Linked DNA regions of Nothobranchius furzeri. The protein of the gene in region 5 purifies or fractionates together with the protein of the main gene of each other region. This does not show direct contact. Links are inferred from orthologs where the notes say so. Each region holds a gene or a part of one and is shown on either strand. Other genes may lie near its edges.

Region 1 (4,083 bases), on a different chromosome or scaffold from region 5:
AATATTTAAAGCAGGGTATGTTGTAAGATTAATTGCCGACTGCTGCATAAGCGATCATCTGCTGTCCTCACGCAGCTTAGTGCATGTTTTAGTTGGGTTTGGGCGTTACCTGCTCAATGGCGATGTACGTTGGCAGCATCTCTGGACACTCTTGCGTCACGCATTCGTAGAGCATAGCTGAGAACATGTGGGTGTCCTTCCTCTGTCAGACACAAGAGAGCAGGATTCAGTGTTTCATCCTCTAATAAGAGAAATGTTTGTTCAGATTTCTGTTTTCTTCCTGGAATTCTTCATGGTAAGTTTGCAATATTAAGTTCAAGTAAACATCTGTTGTTATGCACAACCACAGAGAGGACTCGAGTGTATTCTCTTAAATGTATTGACTTTTAAATTGCACAGTCACACTGTGGTGCTATTAGGTGATGTATCTGATTTGCAGCTCCATCAACTCAACAAGTAATAATCCGTTTCTGCGCTCTTTAATTTGGAAGTCGTCTACTTGGTACAAGTTAATTTCATCTTCTTAAATGATTAACTTATTTCCACAAACTTCAAAACCAGGTCACATCAGGCTAAATCAATTATCAACAATATATGAGCTTATTTCATGCTAAATTAGACAAGAATCAACAAACAATCTTACAATTAAATGCTAGAAAACAGTATTCCATCTAAAATAAAATAAAAACCAAAAGGTTGATGTCTAATAACTGAGGTCAGGCTACCAGCAGATGGAGAATTAGAGAGACAGGGCTGATAAAAACATACATTTTGTTAAATTCAAATGCACGATGTGGAAGCTACACCACAGAATAACTTCTTGAGGTTTAGTGTGAAGGATGAACCGACTGACCTCAGTAAACTACACAAACACCTGATGTCATGATGAGGCAGCTGTTTATCAGCCGTGTAAAACTTGGTCAAGAAACATAATCCAACCACTACAGACCTTAATTCAGCATTAGCCAATAACATTAGACATCCGCTTATGTGCAGGTGTCCATCACAGAGCGTGCACACGCGTGTTTGCAGAAGTAACTAGACTCAGCAGAGTTTTGGAGCAGTTTACAAAGACACAGCAAATTATGAAGCAGCTACAACCCGGATTAGACCAGAAAAGGCTGCAGGCAGCAGGACAGCAGGAGAAGAACTGAAGTAGAGCCCAGCAATGGGACTGAGAAACTGCAGAACTCAATGCAAGTAATGCAGCAGTGGGTGGTTTTAAGGTTGTTGTGACAGAGAGAAGCAACACCACCATGCGTTGAAGCAAAGGGTGACGGAGGCGTGAAACTTTTGAACCGTCAGTCAAAAGGCAGCTAAGACCGCAAGCTTGCGATTGGTCAGCATGCCACTTTCTTTAATTTCATAAACAGCAAAGCCACCTTGCCCACCTCGCCTACACAAAAAATAAAAAAAGAGTGCAGCTGTGGTTGGGACAATTATTACATTAACTGATGGACCTGTAAATAGTTTATAAATAAGGTAGAAATAGATAGAAATAAGTTCCTCACGCTGATAAATAATAACTAATCTCTCTGAGGACACGGTGCTAGTGCACTCTCCTACAGCACATTGACATGACTAAATAAATGTTATGCAACATTTTGTGAACATCAATTTGCATGCATTTGTTATAAATGCCACTGCATAATTCTTGCTGTCAGTATTTGCAAGATATTGGTATTTGGGTCTGTACTGGTTAGACTTAAATGAGTTAAACCAAGGTCTATAGCCCTTGGGTCATAGACTATGAGCTGTAAGTAATATTGGTCTTTTTATACTGGGAATCAGGAGTTATTTCAGTGATCATCTTGTTTATTATTTATTTTTGTCCTGATTGTTCCCTGAGCAATTTTAAGACTGAATAAAAACAAATAAAATCAACATTAATTGAAAAATCGTCTTAAATAATCGAGATCTCAATTTCAGTCACCATAATCGTGATTATTATTTTTGCCATAATCGAGCAGCCCTAGTTGGACCTTTAGATAGTAGCTAGGAAAACATCTCATATTGCACCTTTAAAAAGACAAAACATAACTGGTTGTTTTCCAGGGTAGAAAAATCTATTTTTTGAATAAAAAGCAGCCAAATATTCTCCTCAGTGATGCAGCTCAGAGCGCAAACAACTGACCCGTTACCATCAAGAGCTGATGTCACATTCAGTTATGTAGTTTTGATTTTCTAATATCCAATTAAGAGTAAAACTCTAAATTGCTAAAATAAAAACTTTTTTTCTCATTCTAATCATTTCCTGTCATTGATCAAAAACAAGGCAGCTAGGCCACCAACACACGATTACGTCTGGGTTCAGCACAAGACTCACATGTTTCATTCCTTCAGATGTTTTACAGAAGAAATCCGCAAAGGAGATGAGGGCAGGGTTAGAAGTGAAAGTTGAGATGGTTTCAGGCTGTGGACACACGCACAAAATTATTGAACTTGTTCAGCAAAATCTTATGTATAAAATAATAAAACAGTGAGGACTTTGAGAAGGAATGGTGCCTCAAAAATGAAGTTACAGGAGATAAACTGGGTCAAAAAGGGTTATAAGAAACTAAACGAATTGTAAGAGAAGTAAGAAAGGACACTGAGGACAAATGGAGTCAATAATGTTTTCCTCTGCATGTGTTTTAATGCATACCAAGCTCACGAGGAAATTGTCTATTCAAATTTACACGAAATGCAAACACAGTTTACGATATCAAAAAATGTTGAATTTTCTTTTCAGGAACAAAAAAGGGATTAACAATTAATACGCATTTATTCAGAGCTGGACCTGTAACAGTTTCTGTAATCTGCAGACTACCTAAATGTAATATGAAGCAAATAAAACTATCTGGCTAAATCTCTGATTATAGATGCAGTTTGTTCAGAAATACGAAGCCTATAGGAATAAGATACATTCCACCTTAAAGGCTGTGACTCCAGAGCTTCTGTGGTTGACAGCTGTGGTCAGTAGACTCTTCCATCCCTGAGGGTCGTCTTTGTAGGGAAGCTGCCCGGCCCGCAGTTTTACATACAACACCCCGTCCTGGGATAGGATGGACCTGAAAGCAACATTTCAGAAAGTAGTACAACGTTTTATTGAAAGGTGAGAAATGTTACATTATGTAAATGCATCCTGGACAGCTGTATAATTCAACAGAAATACATTTCTCCTTTGCAAAGAATTATTTCCTTACATGTTTCCTCTTTACTTACTTCAGATGATGTGTTTCTTTGCTCAGATCCAGAGTCAGCTCCCAGTAACGAGGCCCCTTCACCTTCACCTACAATGAAGATTTGTAGCAAATGGAAGTGGAAATAAAAAGGAATAATAAAGTTCCATTATTCATCATCACATACAGCTGAAATCACTTCTCTGCATTTGACCCATCCCCATGGGGAGCAGTGAACTGCCGCAGTGGTTGCACTCAGGAACTACTGGGTGGTTTATGTTTATGTATTTAGCAGACGCTTTTGTCCACGGAGACTTACAAGTGATAATGAAGCTAGCAAGTTGCCCTTGAGGCTAACAACAAAATACTAAATCAGTCAATCCAGGTGGCAGTGAGGCAGCATAATCAATCATTGAGGGAAGCGAACAAGGAGTAGACAGAGTGAGGGACGGGTGCAGGGAGGGTCCTAGTTTAGAAGATGCTCTCTGAAGAGCTGGGTCTTGAAAATCGACAAGGACGCCCCTGTTCTAGTAGTTCTTGGTAGGTCATGAAAATAATGGATTGTCCTTATGTGGTGTAGGTACTGTTAGCCGACGATCCTGTGATAACCGGAGCGGTCGAGCCGCAACGTAAGCCTTTACAAGAGAATTCAGGTAAATGGGAGGCGTACCATACAGGACGTTGTATGCTAGTGTAGCGATTTGAATTGGATGCATGCAGCAGAGGTAGCTAACGAAGCTCAATGAGCAGAGGGGTGAATTGCTCTTTTAGGCTAACTGAAGACCAGACGCGCTGCTGCATTCTGGACCATTTGAAGAGGTCTCACAGTGCAGGCTGGAAGACCAGTTAGAAGGTTGCAGTAGTCGAGGCGGGAGATGACAGTAGATTGCACCAGGAGCTGGGTGGCATGTTGTGCTAGGTA
Region 2 (4,642 bases), on a different chromosome or scaffold from region 5:
GTAACCAGGTAGGCAAATCTGCAACGCCTGCCTCCAGAGGGTTAAAACATAAAAACAAAATTGGTTGCGATAAAGACAGAAAAACTGAAAATTGTATAATTTATAAGCACTAGTGATGGGACGTTCACGAACAAATCAAATCTTTTGAATGAGATTTCAAAGTGAACGATGAGAGCTGAGTCCCCGTGGAGAGCCGTTCATCTTGTCTTCCTGTAACGACAACCCCCCTAGCCGCTCAACCCCCACCACTGCTGTGACACCCACTCTCCGCGCGCCCTCATGGACACCGGAGGAACACGTTGCTCCCAAATACACCCCCATGGCTTCGTTCAAGGGATCTAGTCTTTTGAACTGCTCTTTAAGGTAGACGAACAACTAACGAGCAGCCGCCTTGAAAGAGCTATAAATCCCATCACTAATAAGCACACATGCTAAATTCTGCTAATTGTCCAACAAACTCACACAGCAGGCAGGAAGTGTGGTGGTCTGCCAGGAAAAACTCTGACAGGAAACAAAAACAACTGACCTGAACAAACTTAGTGAGACGATGATCCATCTGCAGGAGGATGTCCTCCCACGCTTCGCACATGCATGTGAGTGACAGGTGCAGGTACTGCATCAGGGTGGAGATGTGAGTGAACTTACGCGCCATCCTGGTGAGTTCAGGCAAACAGTCCGACAACAATCCTGTGTCCAGCTGAAACACAAGGAGGGAAGTTAGAGTTAAAGGAAAGAAAAACAAAGTGTGGAGGAGGAACGTGTCCATCTCACCTGGACGTAACAGATGTCTGCGCTGCTGTCAGCAGACTTGACTTCTGTGATGACAGACAGAGACTTGAGGTCACTCGACAGACTCAGACTGCGACATGTTCCTGAAACCTGTAGAAAGTTCATCAATTAAAGTCACAGTCAAATCCGTTAATGCCGTCTACTAAAGATTTTTGGCATAATTAGCTACTTTTTTCCTGCATTTAAATTAGAATTTTTATGATTTCAAATATCTATGCTAACTTTAGAGTCACTTAAAAACATTTTTGGTAAATTTTTTTTACAGACGACAAATGGAACAACTCATCTGAACAAACAGAGCTGCCTTACCCCATCCAGCGTTGCAATCTTGTACATCCCGTACGCATACAGCTCCACATTTCCACCATCTCCTCCAAGAACAAGTACATTTAGTCTGCATGGAGACAGCTTTCATTGGTTCCCATAAATAAAAATTCCAATATCTTAAGGATGTCCATTTGCTCCTGGCAGTAAGTGACTCTAACCATATTTACCTCACTTCTCCAAGGAGGTTGAGTATCTCATCAGACTTCTCCTCACTGTGAAACAGAAATGAATGCAGTCAGTTTCTGTTTGTGCTATACATGCCACATACATCTATGATAAAAAAAAAAGATGTCCCACCTGAAGATCTTTGAAGTTGTGCTGTAGCTGAAAACAAAAGTTTGGACAAATATCAGGCCAGTCAATCCAAAATGTCTTTTCTTGTGACAACATTTTTAATTTTACCTCTTGGGAAGAGTTGGTAATTTAGGAAGAAAAAGTTTAGATTCATCCTCTGAAGTGTAAAAGGAGCTGAGGACACTGAATCACACACAAAAAATCCTTCATATCAGCTTTGACAAGATTTCACAGAACGTGGTATGTTTGTTGAGCTTCCTGATTACCTGCTCTCCTCCATCACCTCCATCCAGTTCATACAGGTTACAGGACTCTGCACTGGAAACATGTGGAGGATCTCTGCTTTCTCAACCCCACAAAGGACAACCTGCTTGGTGTCTCCAAGACTGAAGGCCAATACTGGGGTTACAAAAAACAAATTCTCACAATTCCATTAAGACAAAAATGTGATAAAAAAAAATCCCTTACTTTTGCCATCAGGCCTCCAAGCAAGTGCGGTTATCTTCTTTCCAGTATATTCACTGGGTGGTAGGCTCCAAACCCGGTGGAAACTAGCCAAGCGATGCAGTAGCACCTGTTGAAAATCACAATAATAAACCATCCAAACAACAGGAAACAGTCACCTTGATTCAGAACAGTTAGGGATTTAAAGTCACCTCCCCAGTTGTGTTGGCCAGAGCTATCAGATCCCTCTTTGGAGACCATGCCATACAGAGGACCGGGTTTGGAAGCTGCTTCTCTCCCACTTGCCGAAAGGCAGGCATGTTGTTAGCTGAAAAAGAAAGAAAGTTTACATTCATTATTGTGTGATAAATGGCCAGCAGGGGCCTAATTACAAGGTTTAGAAGATGTACCAAGATGGGCTATTAAAAGTGAGAACAGATTCAATGAGTGATCTGTAAAACATCTAATAAACCTGTACATGCATAACAGAATAATCATCAAAAATCACATACCTTTTCAATATTTCGTTTACTATTGAATATACAACTGATTATTAAATATTAAAAATCTTTTTCTGTAAAGATAATAAATAATTGTAACAATAAAGAAAAATAGAAATGTTAGCATTTGAATACAGAGGCCCAAATGCAGAGTCAAGAATCAGTAATGAAAGAACCGAGTTATGAGCATGACGTCAGCAATAAGACACACTAAACAATACAACTCAATGCGGAGAGCAACGAGACCTTAAATTACACTGCGATGGAGACGAGCTTTGAAACATTTATGTGTTTTCTGCGTGATAACAGTAGAGTTTTCAGGGTCACAACTAAAAGAGAAAACATTGAAGTACTTAACGAGATTCAAAAACAAAAAGGGAGCTAAAGGCACAACACTTTTCCATTTCCAACTCATTTTATGAAGCATAAATTAGCCGCTCGTTAGCTGGAGCCTCACTCACCGGTTTTGCTAACAGCTGTTAGCTAGCAGGTAAAACTGATGATTCACAGCGATTATTTTAACCCGACCAGACGATAACACCAAATAAACCCAAATCGTAAATATACGAATTTAATATCTCATCGTAATATTTTCGCAGTCACTCAAACACCGCCATATTTCTACTTCCACCAATCCCTGTAGAGCAACGGCAGCCGAGAAGAGACAAACGTATTCAGAAGGGGGGGGGGGGGGGGGGAATAAAAAAAAACTCGATTCCTAAATATGTCTAGAGATTTGCACCCCATGATGGCGCCTTTGGTAAGGATTTAAAACAAATTAAAGTTAACGTTTTGGTCCTATTTTTATTTTTTAATAAATGTTATATTCTATGCAGATTAAAAAGTAGATTTAAACTTTGAGGGTTTAGGACAAAATATAAAATAAGTTTTTTCATAATGTGTTTTTGTACTTCTCTGTCAATTGAATGCATTGCTTAGAATTTGTTTGGATTTAAAAGTTAAAAGTGATCATAAAATTCAAGGTTGACTAAATTATATTAATTCCATTAGAAATATAGGAAAGTTTGCAAGGGTGGTTTCATTCTGGTGATATAAAACTATGCTAAAATATTTCAGTACTCATAAATAGATGCTGTACACATGTTATATGGAGACGTCGCCATTGGATAAAGTAGTTATTTATAAATAACACTTCATACAGAGGGTTGGGTGATGACAATTGTCAAGTAGAAATCCAAATTACTCACCAAGTGTTTGCACACGTGTGTATTGTGAGTGTATATGGAAACTCCTACTGGACTTATCAGCAGCACTTAACTGTAATCAGCAGAATGAAGAAGAGCCAGAATAGCTCAGAGAGCACAAAATGTGATGGTGGACTAGAAATAGACCAAGTGAGGCTGCATGGTGGTCATGGTTTATTCTTTCCAAGGCCCAGGATATCTGTCTCGCTTGGTGAGAAATCAGGAAATGCATGAAGTTTAACAAAAATGCTGAGCATCATTCCATATGTGTGTGCAGAATGGAATCGGACCGAATAGTGACCGGGTTCTTCAAGATCCTCATAATAATTTTGAGTTGTTTTAAAGCCATGGAGGAACCAGCTCAGTCTGAGAGGTCAATGGGTGATTATTGTGTGTTTTCAGATGTGGCCAGTTCAGATTATCATAAAAGATTACAAACATTCTGTTGTACTTGCATACAACAGCACAATTGGTGTGAAACTTAGCCATCCCAACATCCTGTGCTTTCTGTGTATAATTAACCAACACCTTGAGCTCCTTCTGTTCACCTAGACCCCCTCAGTCTTCATTGCTCCTGCCAGCAGTCTGGCTGTGTAACATGAGCTAGGGGCCAAATTTAGCCCCACTCAGAGAGCAGTTAGGGACCAGCACAGATGGGACAGCAGCCCACTGCAGAGGCAGAACGCAATTGGACCCTAAACCTGAAAGATCCTACCTGTCATCTGACCAATAAGGCTGCTCTTCTGGGGAGAGAGGCAAAGCCTCTTTTTGTTTCTTTCTCACATAAACAAGACAAACCTGGACCCAGTAAAACCAGGAAGGAGGACTAGGACACACAGCACACTTGAAGGTAGGTTTATTAATTATTTAACAGAAATTAATCAAATGGTAACAATAGTGGAGCATCAGTTTCATGAAATTTACACACGTCTCACTCTGTTATATTGTTTCTGGGTATTTTACAGCTTCTTGTTTTGAAATATCTAATAATTGCTTTGTATTTTACCATATCAAATACAGCAAGGAATGACACTTAACATTTTGTCTGTCTCCCTTAATGTCTTAGATTTTTCCACATCTATC
Region 3 (4,006 bases), on a different chromosome or scaffold from region 5:
TGTTTTGATTGCTAATAATTTTTTATACAGATGCATTTAATTCTGGTTGACTGTCATTAAATTAAACCCATGGTAAGAGTTAAAAAATATATATACATATATATAACATAATCAGCTGAGTTTTTTCCCATCAAATAGATTTGGGAGACATTCTTATCCCTTTGTTGCAAATATTTAACGTCTTCATATCATTATTTGCTCACATATAACCCAACCAGTGATTTATAACACAAAGATGTTCTGAAATGAGCAGATTTACCCCTCGTCCCTTCTGTCCACCTTCAGCTCGTCCAGATAGATGGACTGCAGAACCTCGATCTCAGACTGAACACTGTAAACAAAAACGGTTTTCGGCTTATTTACTGTTTTTAGCCTGGCCCTTTTGACGTAACCTGTTAGCTTCCCCTTCAGCTAGCTACAACACCTACGACATTTCATCCGATTGTACCGAGAACAGCAAACCTTAATGTGCGGGAGCGTGCGGGTAAAATTCAAAGCGTGTCATGAATATTTTGAAGGAATTTTTGCCATATCAACAAACTCACTCGTACTCGGTTGCCATGATGATGTCTCTGCTGCTAGCTGCTGCTAAGGCGGATACGGTTTTCACACAACCTGTCAAAATAAGAGACACGACGGCGTTTAAAAGACATGTCATGATCCAGTTTTTAAAAATGTTTATTTATTTATTTATTATTTATAGCTGTATTTGTGTGCATTAAGCATCTATGGTCTAAGGAGCTTTGTCTTCAAGCAACTCAAAGAAGTCCAGACGCTTTTCTTTCAAAGCTCCTTAGACTACAATGACCTGGATGACTGAGAACCTTCACAGACATTAAGCATCTATATTACTCTCTAAGATATGTCGAAATATTTATTGATATTAACATCCGTTTCGAAAGATTTTATTTAAATTTTATACAAAAATAAGTACAGTTTCATAACATTTGGCCTTTACTGACACCTGGTGGAGTTTGTATAAGCAATTTTGAAATGTTTTATTTTGTAGTTCAGTTCTGTCAACTTGTGTCTGTGGCCGGCTGTAGTGATTATTCTAACCGCTAGAGGGGGCGAGTAAACATTAAAACCGATTCAAACTCAACAAATACTTTTTACGGACGGTACCTGCAGGGGGCAGTGTCCACCCCTGTAGCATGTAAGTGATAAAAAAAAGTAGAAGAAGTCAACCCGCCATACCATGTTCATATCTGTATTGTAAATTACTATTTGCTTGAATGGAAAAGTTATTATTTAGTAAACTCGTTGAAACACGGTTGAGACACGGGGCATGCTTTTTACACATAGCGCCGCGGTAAGACAAGACATGCTGAGGTTTAAATGCTGAATCTACAGGAGCCGGTTCGGCATTTGTGAAGAAAGTGTCATAAAATGGAGGAAATGATGATGGAATCGGATTCGGTGGAAATGTCTGAGCCCGGAGCGCTCCAGGGGCTCGCTGAGGCGTGGGAATCCGTGACTGCAGCTTTGGTGAGTGGGTCAGAGCCTCGGACACGAGCAACCAAACACTGAATGAAGTGCTGTCACAAGACTCCATTCGTAAATCACACGATTGAATGATGTTTTGGATTTTACATTGGTTTATTAAGGGCTAGACACAAAACTGGCGTTATAAATAGTCAGCAGGAGTATTCGGTGGATTTCGGCTTACATTTGTTGACGTCATCGTGTTTACTGACAACTTTACTCCATGCAAAGAAAAATGGGTTGACTACTAACAACTCAATATTCATAAGTTTGAGTCAGCCATTTAGTTAAAAACAAACACAAATGACATGTCGAAAAAGGCTTATATTAAACACCTATATTATAATAAAATGTGTATTTTATGTTGGAAATGATTTTGCTCTTTTACTCAGTTCTGATTCCATCTCTCATCCATTCCTACATTAACCACCTGCCCCTGAATACCAGACATCCAGCAGCCCTTTTCTGGTTGGAGATGATTCTGTGGTGGATTTCATACCACCATTCTGTTTGGGTCCTTCTCTAGGTGTCTTCTGGATGCCCGGTGTCTGACCAGAGCCTCTCTGACTCCTTGCTTCTGCTCTGCAGTCATGGTTTGGGCCGACTGCTCGGGATCTGGCTGCTGGAAACTTTGCAGATGCGCCTGTCGTCCTCGGTGGTTCCAGAGTTCTGGTCTTGCCTGAAACAGCCGGAGAACGAGCTGGAGGAAAAAGATCGAGCATGGGTTCTCCTCACTGCTTTTAGGACTCTGTTGGACCGCCTGGAACCTTTTCTGAGCAAGTAGAACAAATACAGTAGTGATGACCTTGTCCTTGAATCTTTAAGATTTTATTCCAACTTCTAAAGTTGTTTGGATTTTTTTTGCTTTCCAGACTTTCACTATATTATTTTGTGGATAAAACCAAAGAGGAACAGGTAATTAGTTTCCCATCTCCCTCCATGCAGGTGGTTTGGAGAAGCTTGGGGCGTGGCAGGATGAGGGTCGTGGTGGTCTGTGTGGTCCAGGTCCCAGTGGCCTCCAGGAGCGAGCCTTCACCACCATCAGAGCCCTCCTGCTGTTCTCTCCTCCCCCCATTCTGCAGGAGCGAGTGCTGGAGTTTTACAGCAGGACTTTCTCCGTCTACATGAAACTGGAGGGCAGCGATGAGGATGTGGCCGAGGCTCCAGACAGCCCCAGTGGAGGGTCCTGCCCAGGGTGTGGGGTCCCGGTCCTGAGGTGCTGGTGTCAGGAGGCCCTGGAGCAGCTGCAGGAGCTCAGCCACATACTGTGAGAGGATCTCACTGCTGATTGTTTCTGCTGTTGCTTCGTCCGGATGAATGTTTGATCAGCTGTTTGTGTTTGTAGACTGAAGCTACAGCTGCTGGAGTGGGTCAGCTCAGAGGCCATCACCTGCATCCTCCACAAGCTCATCGAGCAGCGGATGGAGCAGCATTGCCGGGGCGAGTACGAGCGCTCCTTCTTGCTGGACTTCCAGGAGGTAAAACCCCTTTTCCACCGTTTCCTCTCCTGTCTTCATGTTCTGACGCTCTTCTGTCCCTGCAGTGGCTGGAGCTGGTTCTTGGCTGGCTGAGCAAAGTGTTCGCCAGTGAGGTGGACGGAGCCACTCCTGTTCCTGCTGCTCCCAGTGGTCCCATTCAGTCCAGCATCCAGGGCACCCAGCCTGCCAGCTCCATCATGAAGCAGTGGAGATGCCACATGCATCAGTTCTTCTGCAGGATCTACGTCAACATGAGGATCGAAGAGCTCTTCAGCATCATCCGAGGTGAGACCTGAGGAGAGGAGGTCATGTTTTATCTTCATTATGTGGCTGATGCAGTGATGGTTTGTTTGTGTTTATAAATAAGGTCAGAACGTTAAACCTGCTTTCTGAGGCTTTGTGTTTAACGTTATCAGAGATCTTCTGTGTTTCATCAGAGCAACAAGCAACCATCTGGTCATTTAGAGATAATTTAAAATGTTTAAATTTTTATTGTTTTAAATTAAAGGGACTGTACGGAAGTGTGACAGCCAAAACATGTATAGAAATAATAAATGTCTTCTTCATACATTCTCCTGCAATGCCCTGGTCCTGTAGAATGAGCCCTGGCATTTTTACTGTGATTGCCTGTTTTTCTGTAAAATCACAGAAAAAGAGAGATGCTCGGGTCGAGCAGGCTGCTTCATGCGCGTTCACGCTCAGGCATAGCCCGTAGCATTTGCTATCCGTAGCTTTAGCAGCAGAGAGAGAGGCAGTGCCAACTTCCTAACGCCTAGTAACAAACCTAGCTATATTTCTGAGGACCCTTAGCTACTTTCTGTAGAACTTTCTTCTAGATATTTCCTGCAAATTAGCAACAAAATAGCCATTTTCGCTTCGAACCGTTCTTTGAACGTTTCAGCTGTCATCAAGGATATAAAAGTTATAGATACTGTGAATGTTACTAGAGTGTAGCTCACCTTGTAAGATGTCTGACTCTCATGCAGAAGACCCGGGTTAGATTCTGGATGTGAACATAGTTTATTTAGAGTTTATTTTTTACA
Region 4 (4,557 bases), on a different chromosome or scaffold from region 5:
GAATATGAGTTCTGACTTTAGGGATGACAGGGAGACGGCTGCCAGAGGAGCGCAGAGACCGCGTGGTTTTATACGGCAAAAGCAGTTCTGAAAGATAAGAAGGCCCAAGACCATTAAGACACTTAAAAACCGTTAAAGTATTTTAAAATTGATCCTGAAACATATGGGGAGCCAATGCAATGATTCTAAAACCGGAGTTATGTGCTCCCGCCTCCTGGTCTTCGTCAGGACACGTGCTGCTGAGTTTTGTAATAGTTGTAGACCTGAAATCCTCTTTTTAGGAAGACCAGAAAGCAGGGCATTGCAGTAATCTATCCTACTGGTGATAAACGCATGCATCAGCGTCTCCGTATTGACCCGAGAGAGAATGGGGCAGACTCTGGCGATGTTCTTTAGATGATAAAAACCTATTTTGGTGATATTTTTAATATGATGGATAAAAGTCAGCTCAGAGTCAAAAATGACACCCAGGTTCTTCACTTGTGAAGATGGATTAAAAGACAGTGATTGTAATTTTGGTAAAGTTTCTCTCTCTGGGTCTCAGGACCGATAACTAAAACTTCAGTTTTGTCCTGGATGAGCTGGAGAAAGTTTTCTGCCATCCAGGTTTTGATGTCTAAAATGCAGTTAAAAAGTGCATCCATTGGCCGTGTGTCATCAGGAGACACAGAGATGTACAGCTGTGTATCATCAGCGTAACTGTGGAAATTCACCCCGTGTCTCCTGATGACACTGCCAAGAGGGAGCATATAAAGGTTAAAAAGCACTGGGCCTAAAATTGAACCCTGGGGCATACCACATGTAATCCCATGAACCCTAGAGGAACAGGTATCCAGACTCACCATAAAAGTCCTGTCTGTGAGACCACAATTTATCTTTTGGCTTCTGCTCAGATTTCTACAGAGCCTGGCTGGGGTCAGGGCTTTTTCCACACTTGACCTCTGCCAGACTCCACATAGATATCTCCTGGTCATTGGAACAATGCATCACTGCAGCCGCCATATTGGGTCAGGGTACTAATGTCGATGGGTACAACACTACAACACTTGGGTCCTAAAGTCTGTCCACATATATAATCAACACAATTTTCTACTTGTTTAGTTTGTGAAATATCAGACATGGATTTTTTATATAAAAATCCTTAAGACAATTGTGCTTAATTAGGAGATTTGTTTTTAAAGACTTAATAAAATTACTAATTCCAATTAACTTTTTAGTATTTATTGCTAATCAGAGTAAATTTTGTCAGAATGTAAAATAAATAAATATTTTCCATATATGTTAAACCAATGAGAGTTGCGGTTTTCCTTCATGATGCGTTCCTGTCGGAAATGTCCAATCTACCCCTAACTTTTATTGTGAAATAAGTTACAGAATCGTTCTGCTTCAAAACCATGTTCAGAACTAGAAATAAAACTAAAAATCGAACACATTTACTTAACCACGTTTGAATCGTCCATGGACTCCAAAATACATCTCTGGTAGAATTTTGATTGTTAAGAAAACGAGCTGGCGAAGAGCTCCTAAATGCATCAGTGAGAGGAAGGGAGGTTATTCGGCGCCATATTTAATACATCAGATGCTAGCTGTCGTTAGCTATTTTGTGCTAAAAACTTTGAATCAGTCGTAGAAGCCCATAGCAAGACCTAACATTACACAAAAATGAATGTTGTTGACCACGTTCGGGATATGGCTGCGGCTGGTTTATACTCAAATGTTCGCATATTGAGCAGTTTGTTGCTGACGATGAGTAATAACAACCCGTAAGTAATTTTTGCAGGGACACGTCTATTTCCTGATGAGTGTTTTTGTACTTACCTGTGTTTGCTTGTTATGGGGGGAAAAATTCCGCAGTGATATCTGAAGACTAGGTTGGTGTCAACGGCAGCTGACATAGTTGAAAGCAACTGTTTGGCAATATTGTATTAAATTGTCACTCGAATGAACTGCGTTGATTTTCTGTGGTAAACACGCTGTTATTGTCCAAGACATAGTCACAGCCGAGGGTACAGCTGCATGTAACAGTGGCTCCAGCTGTTAAATAGTTCAGGACAAGTTGCCAGACACATTTGTGATTGTTCTAGTTTTCTTCTTTCTGTCGCTATGTTGTGGATCTGATTATTTTAATCCTTCATTTGAGCATTCATTTGAGTGATTACAATGTAAACCTTAGGGTGTTATTGTGGTTTATAACAAAAATATTCTTCTGTTACAAATTTCAAAAATATTTATTTTCATCCAGAAAGTCAGTGACAAAGAAAGTGATCAAATATGGACGCTGGCTCTGTTCTGGTAAATCCTAAAACAAAAGACACGAACAAGTTAAATACTATTTTTGAATAGTATAAATGATTATAAGAGACTCGAGAATAATCTAGCTAATTTTAGAACATTACATCACTGTAGAATTATACAGATTTATATCACAATTATTAAACAATATAATTTGTTTTTCTTAAAAACAGATTAGCATTTTAAAAAAATAAATGGAATATATTATTAGAATATTTTATATTTGATGATTTGCCTCACTATCTTCTTCTTGTTCATCATCATTATCATCACTGATTTTGAGATTGGCTGGCACAATAACTGTCCTCCATTTTACATAGAAGTCGTAGTTTAAAACAGAAAAATATATTCAGTATTCAGTACAATTGTTATTATTACTGTTATTATGATTATGTCTAAAGAACAATAGAGTTTACCTACAGATACACATAATTTGTTGTACTTGTTGAGGGTGTATGATCAAATATGACAGCTTTGATTTTCATGCTATGATTTCACCTACATCATTGAGTTTAACATTTACAACACACATATCCTTATTTAGCTAAACTAGTCAGCGTTATGATGTGTGCGTTTCATAACCCTGTTAGTTTTAGAGATCTGACTGTAAACATAAGAGGATTCTAAGCTGCAGGAAGGCAGTTTTCTGATCTTTCAGACACACCAATCTTTGGCGTGCTATAGCCCTGCAGTGATTGGTCAAACTGTGTCATGGCGCAAACTGTGACTAGCTTGATCCCTGGTGATTGGTTGGTGAAATCCCATAATTCTAAGAATCTGTGAAAAGGCGTACTGACATAATTAATGATGTGTGTGAAGTGTGTAAATATGAACGCTTGGCCTGTAAAGGGTTAAAAGCAGTAACTGCTTTTGGGCTGCTTAAATGCAGCATAAACAAATACTAAATGTTTTTTCATTCATTTTATTCACCATGTTTTAAAGAAATTTCCTGCTGTTTTTTACATTTTTACCATGAAGATCACAGAGATGAGATGTTTCTTTTCTTTTGTCTTTTATTAATCAAAACTAATATTTGTGTCTTATGATTGAAGGGAGCTGTTCTCTCCAGCCCAGAAGTATCAGCTGTTGGTTTACCATGCTGATGCCATCTTTCATGACAAGGAGTACCGAAATGCAGCTTGCAAGTACAATATGGCTCTTCAACAAAAAAAGGTGCTCAACAAAACGTCTAAAGTTCGTACTTCAACTGGTGGAGCAGCATCTAACATACAGGCACAGGTGTGTACTTAAATAGTTTCTGCTGAAAACTAGTTCATTACTAAATTTCTTATAATCTGGGATCTATGGTCTGGTCATATTGTCATAGATTCACAGATCTCAGAACAGTCTCACAATCACATACTGAAAACAACGGTTTAGTAGGCTCAACGTTGTCTTTTTAAAAAAATCACTAAACAGATTTGTTTCATTGTGAAGTGAAAATGTGCTTTTGATGTGCAAAGGCTATTCAAATTTGGTACCGTGTCTTGTAGAGTTTGCCATCAGAAATAGAAGTGAAGTACAAGATAGCTGAATGCTACACCATTTTAAAGCTGGATAAAGACGCCATCGCTGTGCTGGATGGGATTCCATCTAGACAAAGGACTCCAAAGGTAAGAGCTGGCGATTCAAACCTCAAATTCAATTCAAAAATACTTTATTAATCCCAGAGGGAAATTGATTTGTGGCTGCACAAGAAAATATCCTTAATGACATTTAATATCGGGGGTAATCAAAGTGAATATTGAATGCATTTCCATGGTTTTGTTGTCAAGTGAAAGTAGTTGAATACAAATCTTACAAAGAGCTCAATCCATCCCTCACGTGCTCCTCAGAAACGTGTAACTGCCCAGAGCATACAGATTATGGATGACCGTGGAGCAATCTCCCATTCTGTACTTTCTGCGGCAGTTGAAAAAGGCCAAGCTGCCGGCCCAGATGATGGTGCAGTTTTACACGGCCATCATTGAGTCCATCCTCACCTCCTCCATCGCTGTGTGGTACGCTGGAGCCACAGTGAGGGACAAACATAGACTGCAGCGCATTGTGCGCTCTGCTGAGAAGGTGATTGGCTGCAGCCTTCCATCTCTCCAGGACCTGTACGTCTCCAGAACTCGGGGGCGTGCAGGTCGGATTGCAGCTGACCCTTCGCACCCGGGTCACAGACTTTCTGAGCCGCTTCCCTCAGGCAGGAGGTTACGGTCCATCCAGACCAGAACCTCCCGCCATAAGAACAGCTTCTTTCCATCTGCCGTTAGACTTGTG
Region 5 (4,841 bases):
TCCTCCAGCTCTTTGGAGGAGTGACCTTTGCAGAGGCAGACTGACAGACCGGCTCTGGGATCTCACTCGATGTGTGGTGCTGGCAAGCAGAGAGGATAATCGGAATCGTTCCAGAAGACCGCTAACTAACAGAGATCCCAGAGACTGCATTTATCCCACGTGGGGATCACACGTTTAGAGGAATCATCTGTCACTGAGAGGATTTACTCCTCTCAGATTTGAGTTTTACAAGCCAAAACTAAAATTAAAGTTGCTTTTCCCTTGTTATGGGTTTGGGGAGAATGCAAAAAACAATCATTTAGAGCTTATCCTTGTTTAAAATGAAAATAAAAATGTTGATGCCTAAGTAGTCATAAAAGTTTTGGGGAGGAGAGATAAATGAAATAGATGAATTCCTTATTTAGGAGGTTTGAGTGGTTTAACAAAAAAGTTTTAGGACTTATGAGATGCCATTTTCAAAGTTAAACAGTTGTAATTTAACAGCAGTATTCTGGGGTATTTAGCCTATTATAGCCTCCAGAAATGGTCAGTTTTCATCTACAGTGTGCCCTCTTCAGTATCTGGTCATTTGGAGACATAAGTCTTAACTGGTGCTTTTAATCTGCAAGAAAGATACTGTTGCTTGCCCAAGGTCCCTCGCAAGCTCCCTCTTATCTAAGACTGCTTTGCTTCACAGAACAAGAAGGAGGAACTTTCATAATTAAATCATGTAATGAAATGAACAATATGAGTTTGTTTCTCTTCGTTTATTTCATTCAATCAATCAAATAAAAGTTACATAAAACAACTCATGTTCCCAAATAATCATAAATGAAAAGGAGCAGAAAGAAGCAAAAACTTATATCTGCCTCTTTTTCACATCAAGACATTACCCACCACCCCTCACACCCCCAACACAAAACAAGTCTATCAGCCTACTTAAGTTCTATTATTTCATCATGAGACATTTGACACTTTTTTAAAATACAGAAAATGATTTAGATTGTTTCATTTCACTGTCGAGACAATTTGTTACGTCCCCGACAGGTGTTGTAAAAATGTGAAGGATGGGGGTAACATAAGAACTGGTGGAGGAGTTTAAAATGGGTTTATTTGTAACAAAAAGGTTTTAAAAACACAAGCAAACAGATCTCTCTAAAAAGGCTAACATTACATAGCCAAATTATCAACTATAAAACACCTGCTTAAAACTTATATTAAAAGTTTAACCGAGCAGAAGGTGTTTTAAAATCACAAAGTTGATAAAAAGTCCCAAACAATTTACTGAAATATACAATGTTAAATTTATATGTTTTTATCACAACATCTATTCGTCAAAACACTTGTTTGATTTGTTCTATAAATATTGAAAAATATATATATGTATGTATATATATATATATATATATATATATATATATATATATATATATATATATATATATATATATATATATATATATATATATATATATATATATATATTAGATGTCATCATGGTCCTGTCATTCATACCATGGGTTTTAGCGCCATCGTGTGGACAGTTTAACAATAATACCGTCTACCCGCGCTACTATCGCGGTACTTAGGTACCTGACAACCTCGTGAGTTGTTTCTTCACATTGACCAATCCGAAGCCACAAGATGGAGCGAATGAGCCAATCACGAGCTGGTATTTCAGCACTAATTTTAAACAGAAGAAATACTTCCTGATTCTGAGAAACAAACAACACACAGAAGCGATTTAAGTGAGTAAATAATAAGTAAACGTACATTTCTATTTTTTTAATCATCTGGTCAGACAAACGATACTTTGCTAAAAATCTCAATAAGTTTTGAAGTTTCTGGTTTAAACGAGCTTTAAATCTTGTGTGAATCTGCCCTAACGTTGACGCTAGCGTTGACTAAAACAAGATGCCGACCCGTGTTGAGGACTACGAGGTGTTGTACACCATAGGCTCCGGTTCCTATGGAAGATGCCAGAAAGTGAGACGGAAAAATGACGGGAAAGTGAGTATGTCTCCAAACGAAGTCTAAAAAAAACAGCTGGTAAAATGTTTAAAGCAAGACGATTCGCCATAAAGTGCCTGTAGTTGTTCATTGCAGTGATTGGGACTCTTAACAGCTGAAAAAATGTGTGTGAAACATTAAAATAATTAAACATTTAGAATTTTAATAAGTTTGAAACACAGTCTGTATTGCTAATTACACCAATCTATCAAAATATACTCAGAATTAACACAATATAAGATTTTAAAAAAGTGCTGCAAAGTAGTTTATAGTTGCCAGATATATTCAACAGCCTAAGAGACCATTCACTTGCTCCTTTTGGAAATCTTTTGCAGCTTTTAATTAGTATTTCAGGATAGAAAGGATTTCATTTGACAAAAAGGCCCTTTTTACGTCTAGTGAATACATTTCATATCTGCCCCTTTTTTCTTAATTGGAGTAAAAACTGTATGTTTTCACGACAAAACTCTTTGTAAATGATGCCCATGTGTTCTGTAGATTCTGGTGTGGAAGGAGCTGGACTACGGCACCATGGCAGAGAGTGAGAAGCAGATGCTGGTGTCAGAGGTGAACCTGCTGCGGGAGCTCAAGCACCCAAACATAGTGAGATACTACGACCGCATCATAGATCGTACGAACACCACGCTTTACATCGTCATGGAGTACTGTGAAGGTGGAGACCTTTCCAGTCTCATCAGCCGGTGCATCAAAGAAAGGTAAGGGCTCACGAATGCGTCTGTCCTCTGTGAATCTGCAAAGTTACAAGTTAGTTCCTCTCCAGGCGTTACTTGGAGGAGAGGTTCATTCTGAGAGTTATGGCTCAGCTCACCTTGGCCCTGAAGGAGTGTCACAGGCGGCGTGACGGCAGGGCTACGGTCCTGCATCGGGACCTGAAACCAGCCAACATCTTCCTCGACATTAAACAGAACGTTAAGCTCGGTGACTTCGGTCTAGCAAGGATTCTGAACCATGACACCAGCTTTGCAAAGACTTTTGTGGGAACGCCGTACTACATGTCTCCTGTAAGTTACTTGATGATGTCACATCTGTTGAGCTTTTGATTATAAAAGTTTCTGGGATATTTGCAATTTTTGTTTTATTGTCTTCATTTGAACATATTACTAGAATTTTATTTATATTGTTTAGTTATGAATCATTTTCACCTGTATATGAGACGGTTGCTTTTCCAGATCTACAGTTTAAAAATAGATTTTACACATTAAAATAAACATTTAAAAATCTCTCTTTTTATAGAAATGACTCAATTTCAGTCATTATTGTTCTTGCAGGAACAAATTAACAGGATGTCGTACAACGAGAAGTCTGATATTTGGTCCCTGGGGTGCCTGCTGTATGAACTTTGTGCATTATTGTAAGCTCTTCCACACATTTTCCTTCCCTGTAGCAGTTTTCCAACACCCCTAAGAATATTCCCTGGGTTTTTCTCATTTAGGCCTCCGTTCACAGCGTACAACCAGCAAGACTTGGCAGAGAAGATCCGAGAGGGAAAGTTCAGACGAATCCCATACCGGTACTCTGAGGAGCTGAATGCCTTACTCAGCAAGATGCTCAACTTAAAGGTTTGGAATGAATTATTTAACAATGTTGTAATAGTGTGTAAGATGGCTGTGCACTTTTGTAGGCACTGTGCATGTTTTCCTGCTGTGATGATGCACAAATTTGAATTTTCCTCTGGGATCAATGAAGTATTTTTGAATTGAAATCATTCCTCACTGTTGGCAGGACTATCTGAGGCCGTCTGTGGAGTCGATCCTCCAGAGCAGTCTGCTGAGAGACGTGGTCTCCGAGGAGCAGAGGAAGGCACAGATACGGACCCAAAGGAAGTCTCCAGACCCTGACCGCGCCCCCCATAAGCCAGCTGAAGTGTCTATCCCAGCTGCAGAGCTCCGACTGAGGGAACAGGCAGTGCGGGACAGGGAACTCGCCCTGAGGGAGCATGAGGAGAGACTTGAGAGTAAGACTTGTGCTACACAAACATCATGTGTAACAGAACGGTAATATTTAACCCTGTTTCTAAGAAGTTGGGTCACTTTGTAAAAATGCAAATGATTAGCAACATATGTAGCCTTCTTTTGATTGTTGTGGAATTCATTATCTAGAAGAAGTTTGTTCCTCCACCTGCAAATAAAACGTTAAAGTTCCTAATGCTGATTTTAGAAAGAACTAAAAAGGGAGAATCTGTTTGGGGAATAAAGCAAAGTTTCCCCATTTTTGAAAAACAAACAAGCATTTGTTTCAGTAGGTGGCACTGATTTGAACCCTGTAGGTGATGTTCACAGCAATAAATAAATGAAATAAGCGTATCTGTAACTAAAGGTGCTGGTTAAAGACTGATGCGTTGTAGTCAAACCAATTTGTGTGGATGGAACTGGTTTATTATCTTTAACAAAAAACAAATATTACAGTCAAACGCTGACCTACTTCAGCCCCTGGCTTAACTGTGGTGTTAACATGTTGCAGAGTGTTCATGGAAACAACGTTGTTGTTGTTTTTTTTTTGTTTCCTTCTTTTCCTTAACTCCAGAAAGGGAGCAGGAGCTGTGTGTCCGTGAGAAACTGGCAAATGAAAAGCTAGCACGGTAAATTCTCTACAAAAAACCCACATTTGACCTATTTTGTACATTCAACGCCGTCTTTCTTTGTTGGTCTTTTCAGCTGATTCTTGTTCTCCCTCTATCTGTGCTTTTTAGAGCAGACAGTTTGCTGAAGAATTACGGCGACCTGCAGCACCAGAAGGACCTGGCACTGATCTATGGCAGAGACATAGGTATGAGAAACCGACGGAGACATTTGGACAAACTGAACTGAGATGTTTTTATGTTAATGAACTTT

What was found.
Region 1: the proteins of nek2 (region 5) and anapc1 purify together in Homo sapiens (affinity purification with mass spectrometry; 3 studies listed by BioGRID and IntAct, with this or other methods). This does not show direct contact. The link is inferred for Nothobranchius furzeri from reciprocal best matches to the Homo sapiens genes NEK2 and ANAPC1.
Region 2: the proteins of nek2 (region 5) and anapc4 purify together in Homo sapiens (affinity purification with mass spectrometry; 6 studies listed by BioGRID and IntAct, with this or other methods). This does not show direct contact. The link is inferred for Nothobranchius furzeri from reciprocal best matches to the Homo sapiens genes NEK2 and ANAPC4.
Region 3: the proteins of nek2 (region 5) and anapc2 purify together in Homo sapiens (affinity purification with mass spectrometry; 4 studies listed by BioGRID and IntAct, with this or other methods). This does not show direct contact. The link is inferred for Nothobranchius furzeri from reciprocal best matches to the Homo sapiens genes NEK2 and ANAPC2.
Region 4: the proteins of nek2 (region 5) and anapc7 purify together in Homo sapiens (affinity purification with mass spectrometry; 3 studies listed by BioGRID and IntAct, with this or other methods). This does not show direct contact. The link is inferred for Nothobranchius furzeri from reciprocal best matches to the Homo sapiens genes NEK2 and ANAPC7.

What each region holds. Positions count from the first base shown.
Region 1 is NC_091752.1:26,832,857-26,836,939, reverse strand, and holds part of anapc1 (anaphase-promoting complex subunit 1), read right to left. Parts: intron 3,273-4,083; coding exon 3,205-3,272; intron 3,051-3,204; coding exon 2,912-3,050; intron 2,414-2,911; coding exon 2,327-2,413; intron 203-2,326; coding exon 110-202; intron 1-109. UniProt on the Homo sapiens protein: Component of the anaphase promoting complex/cyclosome (APC/C), a cell cycle-regulated E3 ubiquitin ligase that controls progression through mitosis and the G1 phase of the cell cycle.
Region 2 is NC_091748.1:39,288,144-39,292,785, reverse strand, and holds the start of anapc4 (anaphase-promoting complex subunit 4), read right to left. Parts: upstream 2,995-4,642; 5' UTR 2,816-2,994; intron 2,183-2,815; 5' UTR 2,175-2,182; coding exon 2,067-2,174; intron 1,985-2,066; coding exon 1,879-1,984; intron 1,810-1,878; coding exon 1,677-1,809; intron 1,594-1,676; coding exon 1,519-1,593; intron 1,441-1,518; coding exon 1,414-1,440; intron 1,329-1,413; coding exon 1,284-1,328; intron 1,184-1,283; coding exon 1,099-1,183; intron 880-1,098; coding exon 772-879; intron 698-771; coding exon 527-697; intron 1-526. UniProt on the Homo sapiens protein: Component of the anaphase promoting complex/cyclosome (APC/C), a cell cycle-regulated E3 ubiquitin ligase that controls progression through mitosis and the G1 phase of the cell cycle.
Region 3 is NC_091745.1:17,481,439-17,485,444, forward strand, and holds the start of anapc2 (anaphase-promoting complex subunit 2), read left to right. Parts: upstream 1-1,206; 5' UTR 1,207-1,389; coding exon 1,390-1,488; intron 1,489-2,011; coding exon 2,012-2,261; intron 2,262-2,430; coding exon 2,431-2,752; intron 2,753-2,830; coding exon 2,831-2,963; intron 2,964-3,028; coding exon 3,029-3,248; intron 3,249-4,006. Other genes in the region: E3 ubiquitin-protein ligase RNF25, read right to left, coding at 260-331, 546-658. UniProt on the Homo sapiens protein: Together with the RING-H2 protein ANAPC11, constitutes the catalytic component of the anaphase promoting complex/cyclosome (APC/C), a cell cycle-regulated E3 ubiquitin ligase that controls progression through mitosis and the G1 phase of the cell cycle.
Region 4 is NC_091757.1:28,342,468-28,347,024, reverse strand, and holds the start of anapc7 (anaphase-promoting complex subunit 7), read left to right. Parts: upstream 1-1,548; 5' UTR 1,549-1,662; coding exon 1,663-1,763; intron 1,764-3,344; coding exon 3,345-3,531; intron 3,532-3,785; coding exon 3,786-3,905; intron 3,906-4,557. UniProt on the Homo sapiens protein: Component of the anaphase promoting complex/cyclosome (APC/C), a cell cycle-regulated E3 ubiquitin ligase that controls progression through mitosis and the G1 phase of the cell cycle.
Region 5 is NC_091742.1:7,800,359-7,805,199, reverse strand, and holds the start of nek2 (serine/threonine-protein kinase Nek2), read left to right. Parts: upstream 1-1,618; 5' UTR 1,619-1,727; intron 1,728-1,735; exon of another isoform or gene 1,736-1,877; 5' UTR 1,878-1,893; coding exon 1,894-1,989; intron 1,990-2,487; coding exon 2,488-2,705; intron 2,706-2,770; coding exon 2,771-3,011; intron 3,012-3,278; coding exon 3,279-3,361; intron 3,362-3,442; coding exon 3,443-3,569; intron 3,570-3,732; coding exon 3,733-3,964; intron 3,965-4,533; coding exon 4,534-4,588; intron 4,589-4,699; coding exon 4,700-4,776; intron 4,777-4,841. UniProt on the Homo sapiens protein: Protein kinase which is involved in the control of centrosome separation and bipolar spindle formation in mitotic cells and chromatin condensation in meiotic cells.